3 linked regions of the Tamandua tetradactyla genome follow. The protein of the gene in region 2 interacts with the protein of the main gene of each other region in a pairwise test. Links are inferred from orthologs where the notes say so. Each region holds a gene or a part of one and is shown on either strand. Other genes may lie near its edges.

What was found.
Region 1: the proteins of COPG1 (region 2) and COPZ1 interact in a two-hybrid assay, tested with the Homo sapiens proteins (2 studies listed by BioGRID). The link is inferred for Tamandua tetradactyla from reciprocal best matches to the Homo sapiens genes COPG1 and COPZ1.
Region 3: the proteins of COPG1 (region 2) and COPZ2 interact in a two-hybrid assay, tested with the Homo sapiens proteins (2 studies listed by BioGRID). The link is inferred for Tamandua tetradactyla from reciprocal best matches to the Homo sapiens genes COPG1 and COPZ2.

What each region holds. Positions count from the first base shown.
Region 1 is NC_135333.1:115,696,866-115,704,661, reverse strand, and holds the start of COPZ1 (coatomer subunit zeta-1), read right to left. Parts: upstream 3,032-7,796; 5' UTR 2,936-3,031; coding exon 2,918-2,935; exon of another isoform or gene 2,290-2,917; intron 1-2,289. UniProt on the Homo sapiens protein: The coatomer is a cytosolic protein complex that binds to dilysine motifs and reversibly associates with Golgi non-clathrin-coated vesicles, which further mediate biosynthetic protein transport from the ER, via the Golgi up to the trans Golgi network.
Region 2 is NC_135335.1:31,965,099-31,972,178, reverse strand, and holds the start of COPG1 (coatomer subunit gamma-1), read left to right. Parts: upstream 1-4,014; 5' UTR 4,015-4,140; coding exon 4,141-4,177; intron 4,178-5,149; coding exon 5,150-5,202; intron 5,203-5,643; coding exon 5,644-5,724; intron 5,725-5,981; coding exon 5,982-6,053; intron 6,054-6,547; coding exon 6,548-6,627; intron 6,628-7,063; coding exon 7,064-7,080. UniProt on the Homo sapiens protein: The coatomer is a cytosolic protein complex that binds to dilysine motifs and reversibly associates with Golgi non-clathrin-coated vesicles, which further mediate biosynthetic protein transport from the ER, via the Golgi up to the trans Golgi network.
Region 3 is NC_135332.1:29,313,604-29,320,582, reverse strand, and holds the start of COPZ2 (coatomer subunit zeta-2), read left to right. Parts: upstream 1-3,893; 5' UTR 3,894-3,902; coding exon 3,903-4,046; intron 4,047-4,393; coding exon of another isoform or gene 4,394-4,504; intron 4,505-5,261; coding exon 5,262-5,336; intron 5,337-6,979. UniProt on the Homo sapiens protein: The coatomer is a cytosolic protein complex that binds to dilysine motifs and reversibly associates with Golgi non-clathrin-coated vesicles, which further mediate biosynthetic protein transport from the ER, via the Golgi up to the trans Golgi network.

The sequences.
Region 1 (7,796 bases), on a different chromosome or scaffold from region 2:
AGAGGAAACAAATCTGTTTGAAAGCTAGAGCTGGATTACTTAATTCAGGAAAGAAATGTGACCCATTCTAACATACCTAAGTGAAGGGAACCTATTGGGATTAAGAAATTCTCATAATCAGAGCCAACTTTGATCAATAGTTCCACTTGATCACCTCTAGTTTACGCTTTCCTTCTTCTCAACTCTTTACTTCTTCTACAACTGTGTGCTATGTCAAGGTGAGTGAGGACAGAAGAATATTTTCTGATCAGATTTCCCCAGAGGTCCAGCCAAACCAGGAAACAGAAATGTGAAAGGAGGAAAAGGAAAGTTACTCTGAAAGGAGTTTGCCCTCTCTAGGGAGTGGCCTGTTAAACACTCAGCTGGTACAGTAAACTTTGGTTCAACAGGATAAAGATCTAAGGTGAGATACAGAGAGTCTACATTGTTTTCACAATGAAGATGATGACCTAAGAATCAGGAGATATGGCTGAGAATAGACAGAAGAGAGGATGAGATTTAAAAAAGGTACTGTAAGGAAGTTTGATTCTCAATCAAATGGAGCTAATTTTGGTAGACCAGTGTGTAACAATAATGAGGAGAGAATAGAGATTTAGGAAATATTACCTGATTCTCAACAAAAGTTCCTCATCAGAACTACATAACACAGAAAATTATTTAAGTGACCATTTTCTCACTTCCCCCAATGGAGGGTTCATAATGAATGGCATTCTGGATGCAGTGGATAGAGACTGATTCATTACAATGGATGCCTTAGGGCATTAAGGCTCATGGAACTCCAGTTGAGAAAGCTGGAAAAGTGAAGAAAAGTGTTTAAATTCTTAATTGAGAGCCCCAAATAACTGTATGTAAAGAGCAAAAAATGTTGAAAAGAGTTAACCCAAAGGAAAGATAATACTAATTTAATATCTTAAAATCTCTGGAGACCAGTACAGGGATTAATATCTGTTGGTGATGTTTGAAAGGACAATTTTGCATACAGAGGACGGAGAAAGCCCATGGTGAGAGAATCTTGGTAACATCATAGAGGGATGTGATCTTAGAGGTTGAATAAATCCAATCTAATCCTAGTTTTGATATTGTGCTTCCTTAAGCACAATTCTTAGGTCATCATCTTCACTGTGAAAAGAATGTGGACTCACTGTATCTCACCTTAGATCTTTATCCTGTTGAACCAAAGTTTTCTCGTACTTTGATTTCCCATTTAACATAATTACATTGGTCCCTCAGGATAAAAAAAAAAGCATGAGGATTATATTATTACTATGGTAACATATATACAACATAAAATTTCCCATTTTAAGCACTTTCAAGTACACACTTCAGTGGTAATAGTCACATTCACCATGTCATGCTGCGATCACCACCATCCATTACCAAAATGTCCATCAACCTACACAAAAACTCCCTACTCATTAGGCATTGATTACTTCAGTATGATTTTTAAAGCAAAGTTCTGGGGTACCTGATCAAGTTAGCTCTAACACCATGAATGCAGCATCTTAGGTACAGATTCAAGTGGATATAAGGAAGAAGTGAGTTGGAACAAATGTCCCTTAGGAAGAAGGGAGAGGAAACTGAGGTGTGAGAAAATGTGACAAAGGGAAGACTTTCACATATAACTCCCTCAATTCACCACTATTCATAAACCCTTTGCTAAAAGGGCACCCTAACTATCATTTCTCTTGCTCCTTTACTGCCAAGCAGGGTCCCTCTAAACATGTAAGGAAGGTATCTACAAATTTCTAAAAACTTCCAAAGAAACCAATTCCCTAGCATCTATCTATCCTATCTGTTAATTGGTTAAGGATACTGGTTAACTGCCTGCTACTAAAAATATATTTAAAAGTACCTGGATTTTAAGCTTTCTACCTAGATTTGAACAATCTAGGAATTATCTCCACCTTTGCCAGTTTTGAAGGAGGGGAAAACTGAAACCTGTTAGTCTCTTCTACGTGATGATGAGGATCTGGATACGGATGTGCATAAAGTCGGAGGAAAAGAAAAGTCTCCCGGAAAGCTTTCTAGAGTTCAACTCAAGGAAGGAGGCCAGGAACTAAATTCATATCATATCATAAATTCATATTCATATATATATATTTCCAAATTGAAGACAGGATATTTTTGAGAGAAATGCTTAGGTCCAGTCAAAAGGAGTAATAGGTATTTTACTGGTTTGAACAACTAAAATGGATGTTATGAATTAAAAACGGGCTAACATGCCCCTTTAACCACTACAATTCTCATGTATCCAGGGAGAGAGTCAGCATCGCAGATCCTACAGTAAGAATTCCAAAAGTCTAAATGAGGAGGGAAAAAGGAGAACAGAATAAAGAATCTGGAAAAAATATTCTACAATCCAAACTAACTCTATGAGCTATTCCAGAACTTCAGTGGAATAAACTTACTCTTCATCAAGACAGACAGACATAACAGGAATTAACGGGAAACCGAAGTAGGGAGAAAAACGGTTTTTGAAGGAATACGGCAAGGAATGTCAAACTCATAGCCATCAAACTCACAACTTGTGATGAGAAAACTCTAATCCTACAATTTGGGGCGAATTTAGATATTTAAGGAAACTCAGATCAGGAGATCACCCACAATGTAAAGAATTAGGGAAAATCTAAAGAAGCCCCCAACCCTGCACGCTTATAATTCTATGTATCCTCGGACTCCATGTGCTCCCTTCAACTTTTCACCGACTCTATGACCCTCTTTCTCCCCGGCAGGGCTTCCTACTCCGGTCCGAGGCTTTAGCTCCTGTGCTAGGCCACACGCTTATTCCGAGGGCCAGCAGAACCTCCGGTCCCCGAGGATTACCCAGAATTGCCCCCTCTCCTCCCTCCAGTCGAGCTGAACCCGACTCCGGCCCCTATGGACATCTCAGCATCTCGCCTGCCCCTCCGACTCCTACCAAAATCAGCGCCTCCATCTTGCCCCGCAGCTGGTGCCGACGTGGAGCCGCAAAAAGAACGCAGCCGCTGATTGGCTCTACGTCTCCATTAAGCAGCCCCCTAGGATAAGGGTCATTGGACACCAGACGCCAGAATTGCCTTACTGACCAATCAATGTACTAGCTTTCTCAACGGAAGTAAGATATCCAACCAGAAAACTCAGATATTTGATTGTCAGCTTGAATACTCAATAAAAAGCCAAATTCGCTCCAGGGAATGAGGCATAGAGTGACAGGGGCGGGGTTGTTTCCATGGGGAACAGAGGAAGCGATTATTAATTTTCGATTGGTAGAGTAGAGCGTACGTGATACCGTCGACTCGCCTAAGTAACTTTAATCAGCACTGCCTGTAGGGGGCGCTATGACCTTTTGGCCCTTAGCACTGGCAGCCGGTGACAGAATCCTATCCTAATCACTATACCAAGAGCCCACCCTAGGTCCATGTTACTTCGGGTTGCTGGAGCAGCTATGCCTGACACCCTCCAGGCTTGGTCAGCTATTTAAGCATCCTCAAAGGAAGTCTGTACAACCACAAAGTGGAGCCACTACACTAGATGCCTCGCGTTTTAACTAGAAGAACCAAGGCCGCCACGGTAAAGATCTCTCTAAGTTGGAGTCCCAGGCTTTGCAGGACCCAGGGAAGGAAAAGAAGCCAGTGAATTTCTCTATTAACAGTTTCCTTTGGTCAGATGTGAAATGAGACGTTAGAGCTTTAGACGCCTGAAAGGAGAAAAATAGGAGGGGTAAAGGGTTTGTAAAGGACCAGGACAAGGGAGGGAGGGTACAGGGAGCAGTGTCTGCGGTTTTCCAGTAGGGACAAGCCGTTGCAAAACGAGAAAAGAGAAGTTTACTAAGTGCAGAGATTTCACAATGGGGCAGGGTTTTGATCAAGTTTGCTTTCCCCAACCCTTGGTTCCTTGGTGCCTGACCCCCGTAGTTCGGCACCTCTCATTGCCTTATATTATCCCTACAGGAATTTATATTTCCCATCTCAGACAACTTTGTCTTTAGGATCCCTCCAAGAAAAGGTCCAAACCAACCCAAGAGTTTTTTTTTCATAGTTTCAGAGTAGAGTCAGAGGGCGTAAGAGAGAAGTAAAATAAACAATGGAAAAGTTTTGGTAATAGATGCTGGTGATGGTAGCACAATAACATCGCTGAATTATGTATTTGAATGTGGTTAAAAAGGAGAAATTTTACGTTGTATAAATGTTACTAGAATAACAATTTTTAAAAACCATAGGACTATACAACACAAAGAGTGAATTAATGTAAACTGTGGTCTATAGTTATAAGTATAATAATGTTTCATCAATTGTAACAAAGGTACCACACTAATGCAAAATGTTTATAATAAGGAAAGCTATGTGCGTGAGTGGGTTATAGAGGAACCCTGTATTTTCTGCATGATTTTTCTGTAAAGCAAAACTTCTCTAATAAAAAAACAAAAACAAAAACAAAAACAAGAGGAAGGTAAATGATTTTCTGATGAAGTCCCAAGTGACAAAGCTCAACAATCCAGGTCTCAAATATAAATTGAAAAATGGCAGAGAAAGTCATCTGGAATTGAGGGACTGGCGTGTGAGAAATTACTTCTTTTATACCTGATTGAGCTGACTTGATTTATCACCTTGTCCCTTTAAAATTGCAGAGATGCTAAGCCCTGGACACAAAACATGAAGGTCCATTATCTGTGAACTTCAGAGTCTCAAACTGGACGCTTATAGTTTAAGGAAACATAGATCCACCCCCAAGGCTTCAGTTGATGAGGTTGGAATTGAGCTCTCTTTGTTGTAATCTGTAACTCAACCTGCAACCTCTTTGAGAAAAGAGTATGGAGAGGCACAGTCTAAATAATTTCACAGCAGAAGACTCCAACTTGACGATCTTTCCACCAAGGTTTTGGGACAACTCAGATTAGATACTACATATAAAATGGGAAGGGAAACAGTTGACCAACTATGAGCCCAATCAGGGATGCTTAGGCTTGAATATTGGGGTTTGGACAGAAAGATGGTGATAAGGAGCAGAGAGGGGAGTATCTAGGTAAAAATCTTAAAATCCAGGTAGTTTTTAATAAGATATTTTTTATTGTAGGCAGTTAACCAGTTAACAGATAAGGTATCAGATGAGGTAGATACTAGTTTTTAGAAATTTTTAGATACCTTCCTACACCTATTTAGAAAGGAGCTTACTTGGAGGTAAAGGAGTAAGAGATGATAGGAAACTCTTTTTTTAATTTGTGTGCTGTAAGGCAGGGGTCACATTTCATTCTTTTTCCATATGAGTATCCGTTCATTGCACCACCATTTGTTGAATTTTTGCTTTTGTTTGGTTTTTTGTTTGTTTGCTTATTTGTTTGGGGAGTGCATGGGCCAGGAATCGAATGGGGCCTCCCGCATGGCAGGCGAGAATTCTACCACTGAGCTACCCTCACATCCCTTAGAGAACTCTTTTAACAAAGGGTCTATGAATAGTGGTAAGTTGAGGGAGTTATATGTGAAAGAAAATCTTCCCTTTGTCACATTTTCTCCTACCTCAGTTTCCTCTCCCTTCTTCCTGAGTGATGTTTACTTCAGCCCACTTCTTCCTTATATCCACCTGAATCTTTACCTGAGATGCTGCATTCATAGTATTCCAGCTAACTTGATCAGGTACCCCAGAACTTGGTTGATGGAAATTTTGGTAATGGATGGTGGTGATGGCAGCACGACATTGTGAATATCATTAACGTCATTGAATTCTGTATTTGAACGTGGTTAAAAGGGGAAATTTTAGGTTTTATATATATTACTAGAATAAAAATGAAAAAAAAAACCACATAGGACAACATGGCATGGTGAACCCTATTGTAAACAATAGGCTATAGTTAATTGAAGAGTTATAAAAATGTTATTGCATGAATTGTAGCAAATGCTACAATTTGTCGCAATACTAATGCATGGTATTAATAATAGGGTGGTATGTGGGAACTTTGTGTTTTATGCATTATTTTCCTGTAAACCTACAAATTCTCTAACAAAAAAATTAAAAAAAAAACCTAAGTGGTCTAGACAATCCTATTGATCAAAATAGTTGGGGTAACTGATTATTTTTTTCATTTAAAAACTTTAAGACTCTATCATAAATATCTTTGTATATGTTTTCAATAAATGTTTATCAAATGCCAGCCATGTGCCAGGCATTGGCTTTGGGCACTGGGGTTATAGCAGTGAACAAAACAATCAGGTACCTCTGCCCTTGTAGCATTTGCATTGTAGTTAGGCAGCGGAAGCAGAGAATAAACCGAAGAAATAAGTAACCTATATAAGAGTTAGGTGGTGATAAGGTTTATGGAAAAAAATTAAAACTAAAAAGGAAAACCGGGAGTGATCCCATTATGTTGCACAATATGGAGTGGTACCTTTCACAGTGAGATGTGAAGGAGAGGCAAGAGGTTCAATAAGATGGTCCCAGAAGACCTTACTAAGAAGGGTACATTTGATAAGACACCTAAAAAAAGTTAGAGAATGAGCCATGTGGATATTTGGGGGAAGAGCATTCCAGACAAAGAGAAAATATAGGAAAATATGGAAGAAAAATATTAACATAGGTTACCCTGAGAGGATGAGATGGAAAGAGTGGATTATTCAATAGATTTTCTTTATATATGTTGTTCCTGTAGGACTTTGTTACAACAAGCAATTTAAAACTAATAAATGAAAAAGGGACTATCATAAAATGGGGATAAAGTTGGGAGGATTAAATGAGATAATGTTTGAGAAAATGTGTGTAAACTGTTAAATGCTTAGTATTTACTTATTATTTTATAAATAACTGAACATAATTGAACACTTCTGAGCAGAAACATGAGTTTATGGAAGCAATTTTAAGATCATTAATTTGACTGCACGTGTGCAGGTAGGATGAGAAGAGGACAAGTGAAAGGCATAAAGACTAACTAGGGAGACACCACAGTTCTTTATGTTCAAGTGCACACAAAACAGTGACAGTAAAAAAAAACTCCCCAAAAGATTATGTGTCACAAGTGAAATTAGAAGTCAAAGTGTGATGGATAGAATCAACTGTTTGTAGAAGTAGCAAAAGTCTTGATGTAGTTTCAGGAAAGCGTAATTTCATCAACATAGCCAAAGCTCTACCTCGCCTAATCTCTTAAAGTAAAATGGCTGGAGCCATAACACAATCAAGCTCTAACCCAATCAATTATAATAAAATAGCTGAGGTGCATATAAACAGAATCAATTATATTAACTTGGCTGGAACAGAAACCCAATCCATTGAATTGTACCTTGGTTCTGAAATCCTACTTAATCAATTCAGACCTTGTCTCTATAGATGGATTGTAGGGGGATGGTCTACATAGAATCCCTCCCACCTCCCCAAAATAAGTTTGTCATTATTTCTCAAGTGAACTTTAGGGGAAAAGATTCCCTATTCTTCCACTAACACAAATGAATATCTTATATCTTTATAAAGGTGGTGGATTCAGCTCTGCCAGCCATTAAAATTAATCAACTAATTCCATTTGTTCACCAAGCAACCTTCTACTTGTAACATTGGGCTTTCAAAGTAGTCAACTATTTTGATCAGCCGATAGGATCATCTAGACCTCTTAGTTTTTGTTCTATTTTTTATTAGATAATTTCTAGGTTTACAAAAAAAAATCATGCATAAAATACAGAGTTTCCATATACCACTGTCATGGTCAGGTTCACGTGTCATTTTGGCCAAGTGGTGGTACCTGTTCATCTCTTTGGGCGAGTGCTGACTTGTCTGTTGTTATGAGGACATTTCATAGAATTAAATCACAATCATGTCAGCTTCATCCACAGCTGATTCCA
Region 2 (7,080 bases):
CTGGAACTGGAGAAATAACTACAGAATGGGTCCAGGGGCCCAATGGACCCACTGGGAGGTGGACCTGAGCTAAAACTCCATCGATGACCTGACCTCCATAAGCCTGGACCTGAGTGACATTTTGGCTCTCCTGGAACTAGTGTCACTTCTGAGTCAGTGTCTAATAGTCCCCGACATAGTTGATCATATCCTTTTCCCCAGTGCACAATGACCCTGGTAAAAGGTCTTAGGTCTCCTTGGGGAAGGCTGAGAGGAAGGTTAACTATACAAATTTGGGGCAGTGTAAAATGGTGCTTCCCCAAGGGTACCTGGCCCTCCCCTCCTTCAAGGAGCTCTGGGTCTGTAAACTGTCTCAAATTTGGGAATTGATTAAAACGACCGTGACTCACTGTTTTTGTAATCCAAGTTAGACTTCTGTTCATTTGACTTAGAATTTTGCTTTTATAGCTCAAATAAGAATTTAGTAGACAGCCCATCTATTTTACTTCTAGTTATTCCATGATCTTCCAGCCAACGCCACACGTCTCTGCGAGTCAGATTATTCTGACTGCTGCCTTGAGTCTGCTGTCCGTTCTGATAGCCACATTCACCTTGTCTTTGGCGATTAACTGTTGCCACCTGGCTTCTGCCAACTCAGGATCTGATCATCCGCATGGTGTTTAAGGATGCCAGCTCAGTGACAGCAGTTCCCACAGTAGTATCTGAACTACAGAGAAGGGTGACTACAGAGATGACGGATTTATTCTCAAGGTCTGGTGAAAGGTGTGTCCTCTGGACATTCCTGGAGTGTGTGAGCAGGTCTTCCATGATAAATCCACTCTAAATTCCAATCTCTCTAGCCTCTGGATCACCTCATCTATATTATATCAGGGCAGTTCTGGCATTTCGACCTCAGGTAATATTGGCCACCTTTGGATCCATGTTTCACTCAACCATCCAAACAAACTGTTAATGCCCCTTCTAACCCCTAGAGCTACAATACTGAATGTAGAATCTCTGCTTAGTGGGCCCATATCAATTAATTCAGCTTCATACAACTTTATATTCCTTCCATCATTATCCCACACCCTTAATAGCCATTCCCACACATATTCCCCTGAATTTCTATCTATATAGATTAAAAAACTCATGCAGCTCCTTTGGAGATAGCTTACTTCCTCATGGTCACACTTTGTACCTCACCTTTTAGGGCCTGTTGGGACTTCAGTCTAGTTATAGGTCTTGAAGAAAAGGAAGATGGTTGGGGTGGGTCATGAAAAGATGTAGAAGTATCTTTCAAGCCAACCACCTCAGGGCATTCCACTATAGTTTCTTCTGGTGAAACGGGACCAATTGCTCCAGACAGAGAAGTGAGAGCTATTTCCCTAGGGGAGGTGGTTACAGGGTTAGCAGGCACTGAAAGGTTAATCCCTTTAAGTGGAGATTGGATGGCAGACTCCTCTGGGCAGATCGGAAACTGGGAAGCTGTTTCCTCAAGGCAGTCCATTGCAGGTCTATCTAGCAAAGGCTCAGCAGATTCCAGGGATCCCATCTCCCCATCACCATCATTTTATCAAGCCATATATCCCCATACCACGTTTCAGAATCCCATTCTTTCCCAATCAAAGCCTTTAAGGGCAGACACCCTGCAAGGTTGAAATTTTACTTTATGTTATAAATCTGCTACTCTAACAATGAAGCTCTGTGTCTGGTTTTCAGAGATGTCAAGCTTGTGACCACAGGAAATAAGATTTTCTTTTAGGGCACACATAGAAACTTTTACATAGTTCATATGGGACTTAGGTTTCAAATTTGAAGCCTTCAGCTCATCCCTTTCGCTCACCAACGTATCCAGTATATCAAATAACAACCAACCAACATCATAGCTCTTAATTCGACAAAACTCTGAAAAGGTGTCAAAAACACTCTCACCCTGAGCCTTTCCTTGCATAAGTGTACAATTAACAGAATCTAATGGTGATATTTTGCGTATCTCTCTTGCCAGCTCACCCCATAGACTGTCAGTGCCATCTTGATTATTTGTGCCTAACAGAAAACCAATTGTTAAAATCCATTTTTAAGATTCTGTTTTTCAAGAATCACTCCCCGTACCAAGCTTTATTAGTCAGGGCTCCCTAGAAAAAGAGAACCAAGAGGAGACATCTGTAAATATGAGATTTATAAAGGTGTCTCATATGACCATAGGAACAGAAGAGTCAAAAATCAGTAGGCAGTCTCTCTCTCAGCCAACACGACAAGCAAACTCACTGCCCTCTCCCTCTCTAAGTGGGACATGACTCCCAGGGGTGTGGACCTTCCTGGCAACGTGGGACAGAGATCCTGGAATGAGCTGGGAATCAGCATCAAGGGATTGAGAAAACCTTCCGGACGGAAAGGGGATGAGCAAAATGAGACAAAATAAAGTGTCAATGGCTGAGAGATTCCAAGCAGAGTCGAGAGGTTATCCTGGAGGTTATTCTTACGCATTAAACAGATATCACCTTTTTAGTTAAGGTGCAATGGAGAGGCTGGAGGGAACTGCCTGAAAATGTAGAGCTGTGTTCCAGTAGTTATGTTTCTTGAAGATGATTGTATAATGATATAGCTTTCGCAATGTGACTGTGTAACTGTGAAAACCTTGTGTCTGATGCTCCTTTTATCTACCTTGTCAACAAAGGAGTAGAACATATGGAATAAAAATAAATAATAGGGAGAACAAATGCTAAAGTAAATTTAGTTTAAATGCTAGTGATCAATGAAAGCAAGGGGTAAGGGGTATGGTAGGTATAATCTTTTTTTTTTCTTTCCTGTGTTCCTTTTATTTCTTTTTCTATTGTCTTTTTATTTATTTTTCTGAATTAATGCAAATGTTCTAAGAAATAATGAATATGCAACTAAGTGATGATATTGTGAATTACTGATTATGTATGTTGTTTTATTTTTGCTTCTTTATTTTTTTAAATTAATAAATAATTTTTTTTTAAAAAGATGCATAATGTTTCATCCGTTGAGCGTAGCGTTCCATACTTTCCTTACTTACGGACAGTTAGGGTGGGGTATCTTGCCGCAAACTGCTGCAGTGCACAACCTCATTACCTTTTTTTGGGCTAGGGGTGGGGTTACAGGTTACAGGTTTTGAACATCATTTAACTCTTGACAATCTCCCTTTCCCGCGAAACGTGCACGCCCGCTCCCCAACCCCCCAGCCTCCGAGTCCCCCAGCATCAGCACCGCCCAATCCAAAAGGCTGTCCCCGCCTCCATCACTCCAGCACACCCCCTTTGCTGTCGATCCCCCACCCCCACATTTCTTCGCCTGCGGACCTTTGCCCGGTCTCCTGCCTCTCCGCGCGCTGCCCCCTCCCGAGGCTAGCTGGTGGCACGCGTCGCATCGCTGGACCATGCCGACTCAACTCGCCGCAGCGAATGCAATTTGGCACGTTGGCACTCACTGTCCTTACCCTAGCTTCGATTTGGGACGTTGGCACGTACTGTCCCGAGCAGGTTTCCAGAAAGGTGAACCCCGGGTGATGTGTCATTTTCCCTTTTCCATCCCTTCTCGCCCACAGCGCTAGGCGGCGCGGGTAGTTGGCTCTGGGTGAGTACTAGCAATCAAAGTGACGCTGAAGTCTCGTGCTGAGGCTTAGTTAAATCTCTGAAAGTTAATAAAGTACAAAACAGTTTGCACCGGGTGCAGGTGTGATCGGGATTAGGTGGATATGATTATAATAGCAACAGCACACATTCAACAAGCGCTCGTTGCGCACTTACTATTATTCGCTGCGGTGACCAAAAGACAGTGAAAGCAATAAAGTGTAAATATAGTATGTCAGGTGGTGACTTGAGCTAAGGAGAAGAATCAAGCAGGAAGGAGCATTGAAAGTGAGAAATGACGCAGAGATGGGGCGCCCGCCCACCCTCCGAGTCTCCGCCTCTTGGGCCTCTAGCCTCTAGTAAGGACAGGGTTAATGCCGGCCTCGGCTGCGGCGGCCGGGATGTGCGCAGGCGCAGAGCACGGTTTGCGCCTGCGCAGAGCGCAAGGCGACGTGGCTGGACCGAACCCCGGAAGTGGCCCCTGTGGAACAACCGCGGGACCGCTGCTCCGAGCCCTGCCAGGCCCGCGTAGTATTTATTGCTGCGTTGCGCCCCCGTCGGCATCGCCATGCTGAAGAAATTCGACAAGAAGGACGAGGAGTCGGGTGAGGGACCCCAGGCCTGGGTTTGAGGGAGGCCGGACCTCCACGCAAGCCCCCAGGACCCTCCCTGGGAATCCTCTTTAAGGTGCCTCTGACCTGAGCTAGAGGCCGAGGCCCAGTGAGGGGTTGGGGCTTGTGCGAAGATCCAAGACTGGACGGTGGCAGGCCTCGGGGACCGAGCATCCTTCAAGAGACCCCTTCCCCTCGTAAGCTCGGACCGCTACTCGCCGGGTGACCTTGGACAAGTCACGCTCTTCTCTGGGCCTCAGTTTTCCCATCTGTCAGAGGAGAGAGTCGGGCTGGCTACTCCCTTGCTACTTTCTTCGTCCAATCTCTCTGAATTTGCCGGCGCTGCGTTGATGCTTGTCCAAGCTAGGGCATGGTCAGCGGAGTCAGTGTGCTGTGAACCCTAATTCCATTCATTCATTTGTTCAACAAACATATTGAGCGCTTACTGTATGCAACGCTTTGTACAGTCCTGATACAGTCCTAGAACAAGGTAGACAGTTGTCCCCTGGGCTGGACACATTAGAATGGAATAAACAAGACAGTCACAGGTCTAGTAGAGGAGAAGAACATCAATCAGATAATCATACACATGATTAATTACTGAGATGACATCTGCTATTAAGGAAACCTAGTAATGGGACGGTTAGCCCCTGGCACGTAGTAGGGACTCAAATAGTACGGGGCTGCATAAATGAATGCAAAAAGTGACATACACCATGAGAGGCACAGAAGAAGGGCTGTACCAGCAGGGCTGCTAGATGACTGTAAGTGGTTTGGGATAGAGTGGATTCCCCTTGTAGCAGAGTAGTAGGATCTATGGACAGATTGTAGAGCCTTAATTGCATTCATGAGAACTTTGAAGTTTACCAGGTAGCCAGTAAAGAAATCTTTCCCTTTCCTCTGTCTCTGAGAGTTTTAAATTCAGAAATAGAACCAGTATTCATTCTTCTCCATTACTGATTGTAGGTGGAGGCTCCAACCCATTCCAACACCTTGAGAAGAGTACAGTACTTCAGGAGGCAAGTGTCATTTGTTCCCCTTTATCTTACATCATAAATGTTCATGGTTGAGAAGATGAAAATATGAACACATTCAGACAGCTGATTTAGAGAACTATGAGGGAGAAAACCAGTGCCTGGAAAAGCAGAAAAACTTTTGTTCTCAAAGAGAATTCATTAAGCCTACGTTTTTGTTGATGATATTGGTTGTTTCTTCTTTGAGTTAACAAGTGATTACTAAGTATTTGCTGGTTAGTAGGTTGGCCCATCTCTAACTAATATTTAGGGAAGATTTCAGAAGTTGATTTTAGATGGATTGAGGGAAAAACCTCTTCCTTTATGAAAATAAGCTTGTCAAGACAGGTGTATTGATTTACCTTAGGACCTGCCAGAACCTTGAATGTGCTTGAGAATTGTCAGTGGAAGGGATAGAAGATAATAGTCTTGGTCACTTCTTCTCAGGCACGTGTATTTAATGAAACTCCCATCAACCCTCGAAAATGTGCCCACATCCTCACCAAGATCCTTTACCTCATAAACCAGGTAATAGGGTGAACCTGGGAGTGCAAAAAAAAATGGTGCTGGGGGAGGTTTGGGAGAGGGATATATGAATTATCACACACTTAGGTGATTTGACAGCTTTTGGTCCTGCTTTGGGTCTCCCGGAGCATCCAATCCTGTTGTGTTGCCTTTGATGGCACCTCTGCGGGGTCCAAAGAGCTGGCATGGGGTGATGTGACGAAAAAAAAGCCATCTGGCCCCTCCTTCCTAGGCTAAGGCTTCTTTCTTTTTTACCACAGGGGGAGCATCTGGGCACCACTGAAGCAACCGAAGCCTTCTTTGCTATGACCAAGCTCTTTCAGTCCAATGATGTAAGTACCCTGGCCCCAGTTTTTCTTGAGGGGGAGCAGCTTATAAGAAGGTGGTGGGAATAGAAAAAAAAATAGGAGGAATAAAGGTTAAAATCTGTTGAGTAGATGGAAATACTAGTGGTCAATTAGAGGGAGGGGTAAGGGGCATGGTATATGTGAGTTTTTTTTTTTTCTTTTTATTTCTTTTTCTGAAGTGATACAAATGTTCTGAAAAATGATCATGGTAATGAATATACTGCTATGTGATGATATTATGAGCCATTGATTGTATATCATACTAAGAATGTATGTTAAGAATGTTCATGTTTGTATGTTGTTTTGGTTTGATAATACAAAATAAATTAAAAAAAAAAAAAAAAAGATGATGGGAGGACCAAGGAAAGCTGGCTTTGCCAGGCACTGTGGGCTGCCTTTGAGAGATCAGGGTTTTTTTTTTCCTAACTCTGGCCCTCATGGTGAGCCAGGGATGATAGGGCTTTTCTCATCTCTCACAGCCCACACTCCGTCGGATGTGCTATCTGACTATCAAGGAAATGTCTTGCATCGCAGAGGATGTCATCATTGTCACCAGCAGGCAAGTTGTTGGTGCTGTGGGTGGTTCTTCCGATGGGTTCCATGGACACAGAGGACATTTTTCCTCTTATGTGTACCAGAGTATGAGACTTTTGGTTGGCATAGTCATCTGGCACTCTTGCCCATTCTGTCTGCCTCATCCTCCAGTTACTGGTGCCAACCCCATGGTGGCCTGCAGGGTATGCTGTTTCCCTTTTAATTATCTGGCTTTAACTTGGACACAAACCTCTTCCTCCCTTTGAAGTACACAGAGCCAGAAGAAGCAAGAATAGCAGGAGAACATGGGTTGGGAGATGTTTATAGTAGTCCAGGCAAGCGTGATAACCTTGGACCTAGAGAGGAGTAGAAGAAGGGTGTGGGTTCAGGGGAGCAGGCCTGTAACTGAGGCGGGGCAGGGCAGGCTCCCTGTGTGTTGAGCACCCCGTCTCCCCCGGCAGCCTCACAAAAGACATGA
Region 3 (6,979 bases), on a different chromosome or scaffold from region 2:
CATGGAGATAAATTCTTTCTCTGAAAAAAAAAAAGCTCCCCAGGTGATTCTTACTGCAACCACAGTAGAAAATCACTAGCTTAGAGCTAAAGGTGGGTAAAAAGAAACAGCAGTGGTTACTGTAGAAGTACAGACTGGAATCATCACCTGTTTTTTTAGTATGTATTATTTCTGGATCCTAAAATGCTCTCTCTCCTTAACCTATACAGTGAAAATGCCTCCTTGTTCATTCATATCTCGATTCAACATTTTGTGAAGCTGAGTTCAGCTGTCCTCTGTCCCCAGTAACATGGGTCCTTTTCTTTGGATAATTTTCAGTGCAGCTGAGGAGGTGCCGTTGTACTGGTGAAAGCTTTGCCTCCCCTTCTTTCAATTTATGTTCTCCAATTGAAATGATAATGCTAATACTGTCTCCTCTTCTGCTTTGCAAAGCAGAAGTGGGTGTTTGGGACTCATACATCCATGGGTGGAAGAAGTGGGTGTTTGGGACTCGTATCTGGGTTAAAAAATCTAGCGCTGCCACCTACTAGTTGGACCATCCTGGGCAAAATGGAGATAGTATATATTCACAAAGCTTCAAAATTAGCTCGTGTGTATAAAGCCACGTGCACCTGGGTAGAGCTGAGTGTGAAGTCCCTTTTTTGAACAACTCTTTCTCTCTATTTACCCTGCAAAACTATCCCAGATAAAGCCAAATGCATTGAGGAAATTAGTCCGGTCCTTAGAATGGTCTACAGGAAGCCCATCCTGCAGGCAGGGCACAGAAGCTTTAGTTTCCTCAGAAGGATGCCACAGCATACCCATCCCAGCCTCATTCTACACATGCCTCCCCCTCTTGACATACAGCAGGAAGGATGGGAAGAGGCTGTCACCCCAGGGAGCTGTTTCTTCTTGTCACACAAGAACAGATGCTGAAATCCTAGGACAGTACAAAATGTGGCAACAGGAGGGGGAGTTGGAGGAAACAGAGTGGTCTCACCTCCAAGCTGGACCAAGGCCCAGAACCGAATCCCATTTGAGTCAAGGCCCCCCGGAAACTGCGCAAGGCAGGGTGTGTGTGCTTTCAGGACCAGTTCCGAGCGCAACTACTCTACAGACTCCAGCCACTTAGAGATGCACCCAACCGCACCGTGAAGGGGCCACAGAGAGCAAAGAAGCATGAAGGCTGCATTCCTTCTGAACCCAGCTTTGCTTCCTCATTCTGGGTAGGCTGCCCAGCTGCTTCTCTTCTACTCTGCTTGTATGCTTCTCAAGTGCTGCTGGCCTTAGACCATGGAGTCCTCCGGGGCGATGCTTTGTGGAAAACGCCATCCTGACGCCCTGCACGCTTAGCTTGCATTTCAACATAGAACGCAGTTAAAGGTGCACCTCCGGCTGGAGGAGCTCATGAAAAGAAAGGAGTCCTGGGGTCTCGGTGGAGACCGAATCTCTTGAAAAGCTGAACTTCAGGGCTCTCAATTTACTGAACTAGCCCTGCACTTGAGAAGTAAACAGAGCCGTATAACCATGGCAACAACAGTGGTGGTGAGGATTCAATGCCTCATGCACTTCCTTCGCCAACGTCCACTCTTACCCCCGGAGCACCTCCCCAGTGCCTTCGCATCCACACCCCCTGGATTTAGCTCTCCTTGGGGAACCACACCAGCTCCTGAAGACCCCTGCCTTCCCAGATCTTCCCCCCTCCCTTCAGAAGGCTGGTCCTCTTCTGCGACAGGTATCACGTGCCAAGCAGAAAAACGCCCCTGGAGGCTTTTTTGTTACTATCTGAAACATGAACTAAAAATTTGTAAATATGAAACTAAAAATTGGCTAGCTCAAAGAAATGTGAGGGCATTGAAATAATCAAATCAGTATTTCTTATGATATTCCCCATGACTAATGACAGTGACTTCTGAGGATCTGGAATCAAAACAAATAAAAAGCCCAATCCTGGGTCCTCTTTCCCCCAGTTGTACCAAATTGTGTTGACTAATGCTCACTATTATAACTCTGACAGCCTGCAACGGAGATTTGGATGTGCCTTCCAAATCGTTGTAGAAAGCGGTTCAGCCAAAGTTTCTTCAGATGTCTACACAGCTCACCCCCTCACCGTCTTCAGACCTCTATGCACCTCTTAGAAGCCCTCTCAAAAGCCCCTACTGAAAATGGTGTTGCCCGGCTTCTCCCAGCCCCCACCCTTCCTGATCTCCATTCTGGCTCTATTTTTCTTAATAGCACTTATCATCAACTGATGTAATATCTGATTTACTTGTTTATTCTTTTTTATTTGCCTTACAAAGAAATGGATGCACACATGCACACTCACACACACACTTGAACATACTCTCCATGAGAGTAAGGATTTTGTTTATTTTACTACTGTGTCCCAGTGCCTAGAAGAGTATCTGGTAGTACATTAGTGAGCACTCTGTAAATATTTGTTCAGTGTATAAAGTATGATTTCATTAAGTACATTTTAATTATTTGTTTAAATAGGTAGTCTGTGAATATTTATACACAATCTCCCTTATCCGGAAATCACGTGTTCATGTATTTACTCAATTACACAAAGTCCACCCCATTTACACAAATGCTTGCTAAGTAACCTGTCGTGTGCCAGGCCCTGTGACAGGTACTAGGGATCTGTGAGTGAACGGGACAGCCATGTGCTCCAAGTCTGGTGGGTTTCCACTGGTAAAAAGTAAAAATAATATTTAGCAATCGAGGAAAATACGATGAAAAATAAGTAGGGCGCAGAGACAGAAAGCATGACAGGAGAGACCTGTCATATTAGGTACAGTGGTTGTCAGGAAGGGACATCTAAGTTGAGACTTGAAGGTAAGAAGGCTTGATGCCATTTGGCAAAGGAAAGCCCCATTTCCCAGTCACCTGCGATGCGCTCCCTGTGTGGCACAATGTGAGAGGCCTTGGAGAGAAGAAAGGGGAAGACATTTGAAATCTAAAACTTGGGTTTCCACTCCCACTCAACTACTAGTTTTAGAATCTTGAAAAAGTCACACAAACTCTGTCACCTTCTGATCTATAAAATGGGGATAATACCTAGCTCACATGTGTGGGTTATATCAGGTCATGGATGTGAAAGTGTTTAAACGTAAAATGCACGTATGACGTTGTTACAGGTAAACGGATAGGTACCATTCAGCAGCGAAAAGCCTACTGGTGGGCTCTTGTCTTCTGGTGTATTTCTACCAAAGAAACCAAAGTGAATTGCAAAGCCTGATGCCCTTGGAGGAGTATCTGTGCTGCTAGGCATGTGTCTTGGTTCAGATAGTGCCACTTCTTGGGAGACATCCTGGGAGGTGTCCCGGGGCCAAGGCTGCCTTCCCCCCAAACTGGAAGAGAGGCGGGAGCTTCTTCCCCACAGAAGACTATCCCCAGAGCAGCCTGGTCTGCTCTCACTGCTAGAACCTGCCCCGAAGACCAGAAGGGTGACCTGGTATGTTCGTACGGATGGTGCCTGCTCTAGTTTGCTGGCTGCCAGAATGCAATAGATCAGAAATGACTCGCTTTTAAAAAAGGAAATTTAATAAGTTGCTAGTTTACAGTTCTAAGGCTGAGAAAATGTCCCAATTAAAACAAGTCTATAGAAATTTAAGGCATCCAGGGAAAGATACCTTGGTTCAAGAAGGCCGATGATGTTCAATGTTTCTCTCAGCTGAAAGGGCACATGGTGCACATGGCAGCGTCTGCTGGCTTTCTTGTGGCTCTACCAAAAAGGACTCTCTCCAAAATGTTTCCTCTTTTAAAGGATTCCAGTAAGCAACTCTACCTTCAATGAGCAGAGACACACCTCCATGGAAAACATCTAATCAAAAGTTACCACCCACAACTGGGTGGGTCACATCTCCATGGGAACAATCAAAATGCTCCCACCCAGCAATACTGAATGAGGATTTAAGGACATGGCTTTTCTGGGGTCCACCATAGACTCAAACCAGCACAGTACCAAAGTACCTAAGAGCGGTCAAGAGACAAAACTGGACGTTGCCTGTGTTTTCTGCTGGCCTCAGGGCAGTCTGAGGATTCCCCACAGGCGCCCAGAGGAGGTAGGAAGAAGGGGTGGACCTGGGGCAAAGGAGGATGCGGAGAGTTCAAGGCGCGAGAAAATGGAAAGGAGCCCAGGAGAGAGGGAAATGAGAGATGGGGGAAGGAGAGCTGGAGTGTAGGGTGCAGGGCGGGGAGGGCGGGACAGGAGAGGAAGGAGAGCGAGCAGGAGGTAAGGGCCGTGGGGAAAAGGAAAGACAAGCACAGGAGATGGGCGCGAGGCCTGCGGCGGCCGGGCAGCTAGCGGGCGGTGGCCTCCGGGGGGCGGCCCCGCGGGCAGGGCCGGCCGGGCGGGGGCGGAGGCGGGCCGGCAGGCGGGCGGCGCTGTCAGTGCGAGGCGGCGAGCGGAATGCAGCGACCGGAGGCCTGGCCACGTCCGCACCCGGGGGAGGGGGCCGCGGCGGCCCAGACCCGGGGCCCGGCGCCGCCCGCAGGAGCCGCGGAGCCCACGGGGCTGCGGGTATGGAAAGCGTGGGCGCCCGGGAGCCCGGACGCTGGGAGCGGAGCTCAGGGAGGAGGGAGCGCAGCCACCTCCCAACTCGCGCGCCCCGCGGCCAGGAACTTTGTGCCACTGCTGACCAGCCCCTGGCAGGGCCCGGGCCGAGGGCAGGGGAGAAAAAGTCCGCCGGGTGCGGACTCGCGAGGAGGCCAGTCCTGAGCCCCGCCGGGCTCAAGTTCTGGATCAGTTTGGGGGGAGTGATGAGAGGGAGGGTGGAGGTGGACAGGGGTTCCTCTGGGAGGAGGTAAGAGTGGCCTGAGCGCCCCAGGCTCCCGTCCGCGTGAGCCGACTGGCGTGCTTCTGGAGCCCACCCGGGCCAGAGCCTGGAGGCAGGCACCAATCCAGCCTCGGTCCGGGGTCATCTGGAAGGAGGAGGCTCGGCGCCACTGTCCACCCGGCCCAGGTTCTGTGATACACTTGGACTCGGGCTCTGGAGCAGTCAGTGCATGACAGAACTTGGGCCCGGATGGACCTTCTGCACACGTCGGGTGCGGCGCCACCCGGGGCCTGCAGTGAAACACCTGCCTGGAGTAGAGCAGCCCCGGAGTTGGCCCATATGGGGGGGTTGGGCCCGACCCTCTGTGGACCTTTGGGGCTGGAGTCGCTGGAGCCTGAGGATGTACCCTGGAGCCAGCAGATCCCATAGAGCCAACAATAGCATGTCCACCTTGAGAGCTGTTGCTTCAGAGACCAATGGAGTTCCCCTCTCCCTTGTCAGTTGCAGGAACCTTCTCTCTACACCATCAAGGCTATTTTCATCCTGGATAATGATGGGAACAGGCTACTGGCCAAGGTAAACCGGCACCCTAGCCCAGAGGCTGACACCAGAAGGACCTGGGAGACACACAGTGCTGCAGCACTGGGAACAGAGGTTCTCACCCAGCTGACTCTCCTATCTCAGGAGAAACTCCACTGGTGACCTCTGCGATTTGGAGGAGCTCAAGGAGCTCAGCTTAGACTTCTCCAGAGGACCTGCTGTTCATCCTCCTGCCTTGTCAGGCTGCTGAGTCCTATCCCGAGGGAGGGTTTCCTATGGTTCTACTCATGTTGCCTGAAACGTCTTTCCATCGTCCTTCCCACTGGCCGGCTGGGCCCTGGGTATAGGAAGGGACCTCCTACAGGGTCAGTGGAGTGTTGGACCTGGGATCTGGAAATCTTGGCCCCCAAACTTTAAACAAGCAACCTCCACTTTTCTTCTACAGCTTGGTGAACACAATTGTGGGTGTCTAAGAATTTTTAGCCAGGCAGGATTTTAGAGACCATATTAGTCCAACTCTCACATTTTACAGCTGAAGAAAATGAGATCTAGAGAAATGTGCCTGAGTTCACGATCTGTTAATATCAGGAGCTATGAACTGCAGTTTTTTTACTTGAATCTCGGGATGGTTTTCACCCCACCCCAGTTCAACTAGGTGGTCTCCATCCTATTGAACATGGCCTGGGTAAAAAAACTAGAATGATCCAAAAATAAATTTCTATGGTGGAGATAACTATAGCAGGGCTATAGCGTCTAAACTAGTTATGAATGTGTGTTAGATTTCATTGTTGTGGTTTGGGCTGAAAATTTGTCTTGTAATTTTTTTTTTTTTTGCCTTCATGACATTCAGATGAGCTTCTCCCCTGCTGCAGTGGCCAGCAGGGAGAATGCCAATTTGCCTGGAGATTGAGCACTAAATAGCAAGATCCACACGCACAGAAGGGAGAGCTGGCCACGCTTTGCCTCTGTGTCTGAGGTGGATCATCAGTGCCAAAGGCTCCAGGGCCTTGCTCCAGCATGAAACATCCATGTCACAGATTAAAAAACTGAGTCAGAGAGGCTCACAGAACCCAAACATAAAGACATTGGTCTAGTTATACAGAATGTGCCTGGAACGTTTCCCTAGTTTTTGTGGGGTTTTTTGTTTTGTTTTGTTTTGAGGTGTGTGGTCCAGGAATCAAACCTGGGTCTCCTGCATGGCAGAGGAGAGTTCTACCACTGAGCTACCCTTGCACTGCCCTTCCTTAGCTATTTCATCTTCACCCTAGCCCTGTCTGGAGTCAGACTGTCCTTCGTGTTGAATCTCAGCTCTGCCCTTTACAAGCCACAAGGAAATTTGGGGGAAGCTCCCTGACTTTGCACCCCAGTTCCCCCAACTAAATAATGGGGGTAAAAGTGTTCTTGTAATGGAAGTTGTTGTTTATGATTGCCCTGGCCATAAGGAAGGACTCCGGCTCTGCCCTCTTTTCTATAGGTTCAGGTCAGTGTAGAAACAGTGGCCCAGCGACCACCCTGGTCCTTAACACGCTGCATATCTGGGGAGTGCATCCAGGAGGGGACCCCAAAAGGAGGCCTCAAAACTCCTCTCCTTTTTATGACCTTGTTTGCTCAGAATTTGTGATTATGGAGAAATAGTGAGCAGACAGGCCGGAGGCAGGAAAGGGGAAATGGGACGCTGT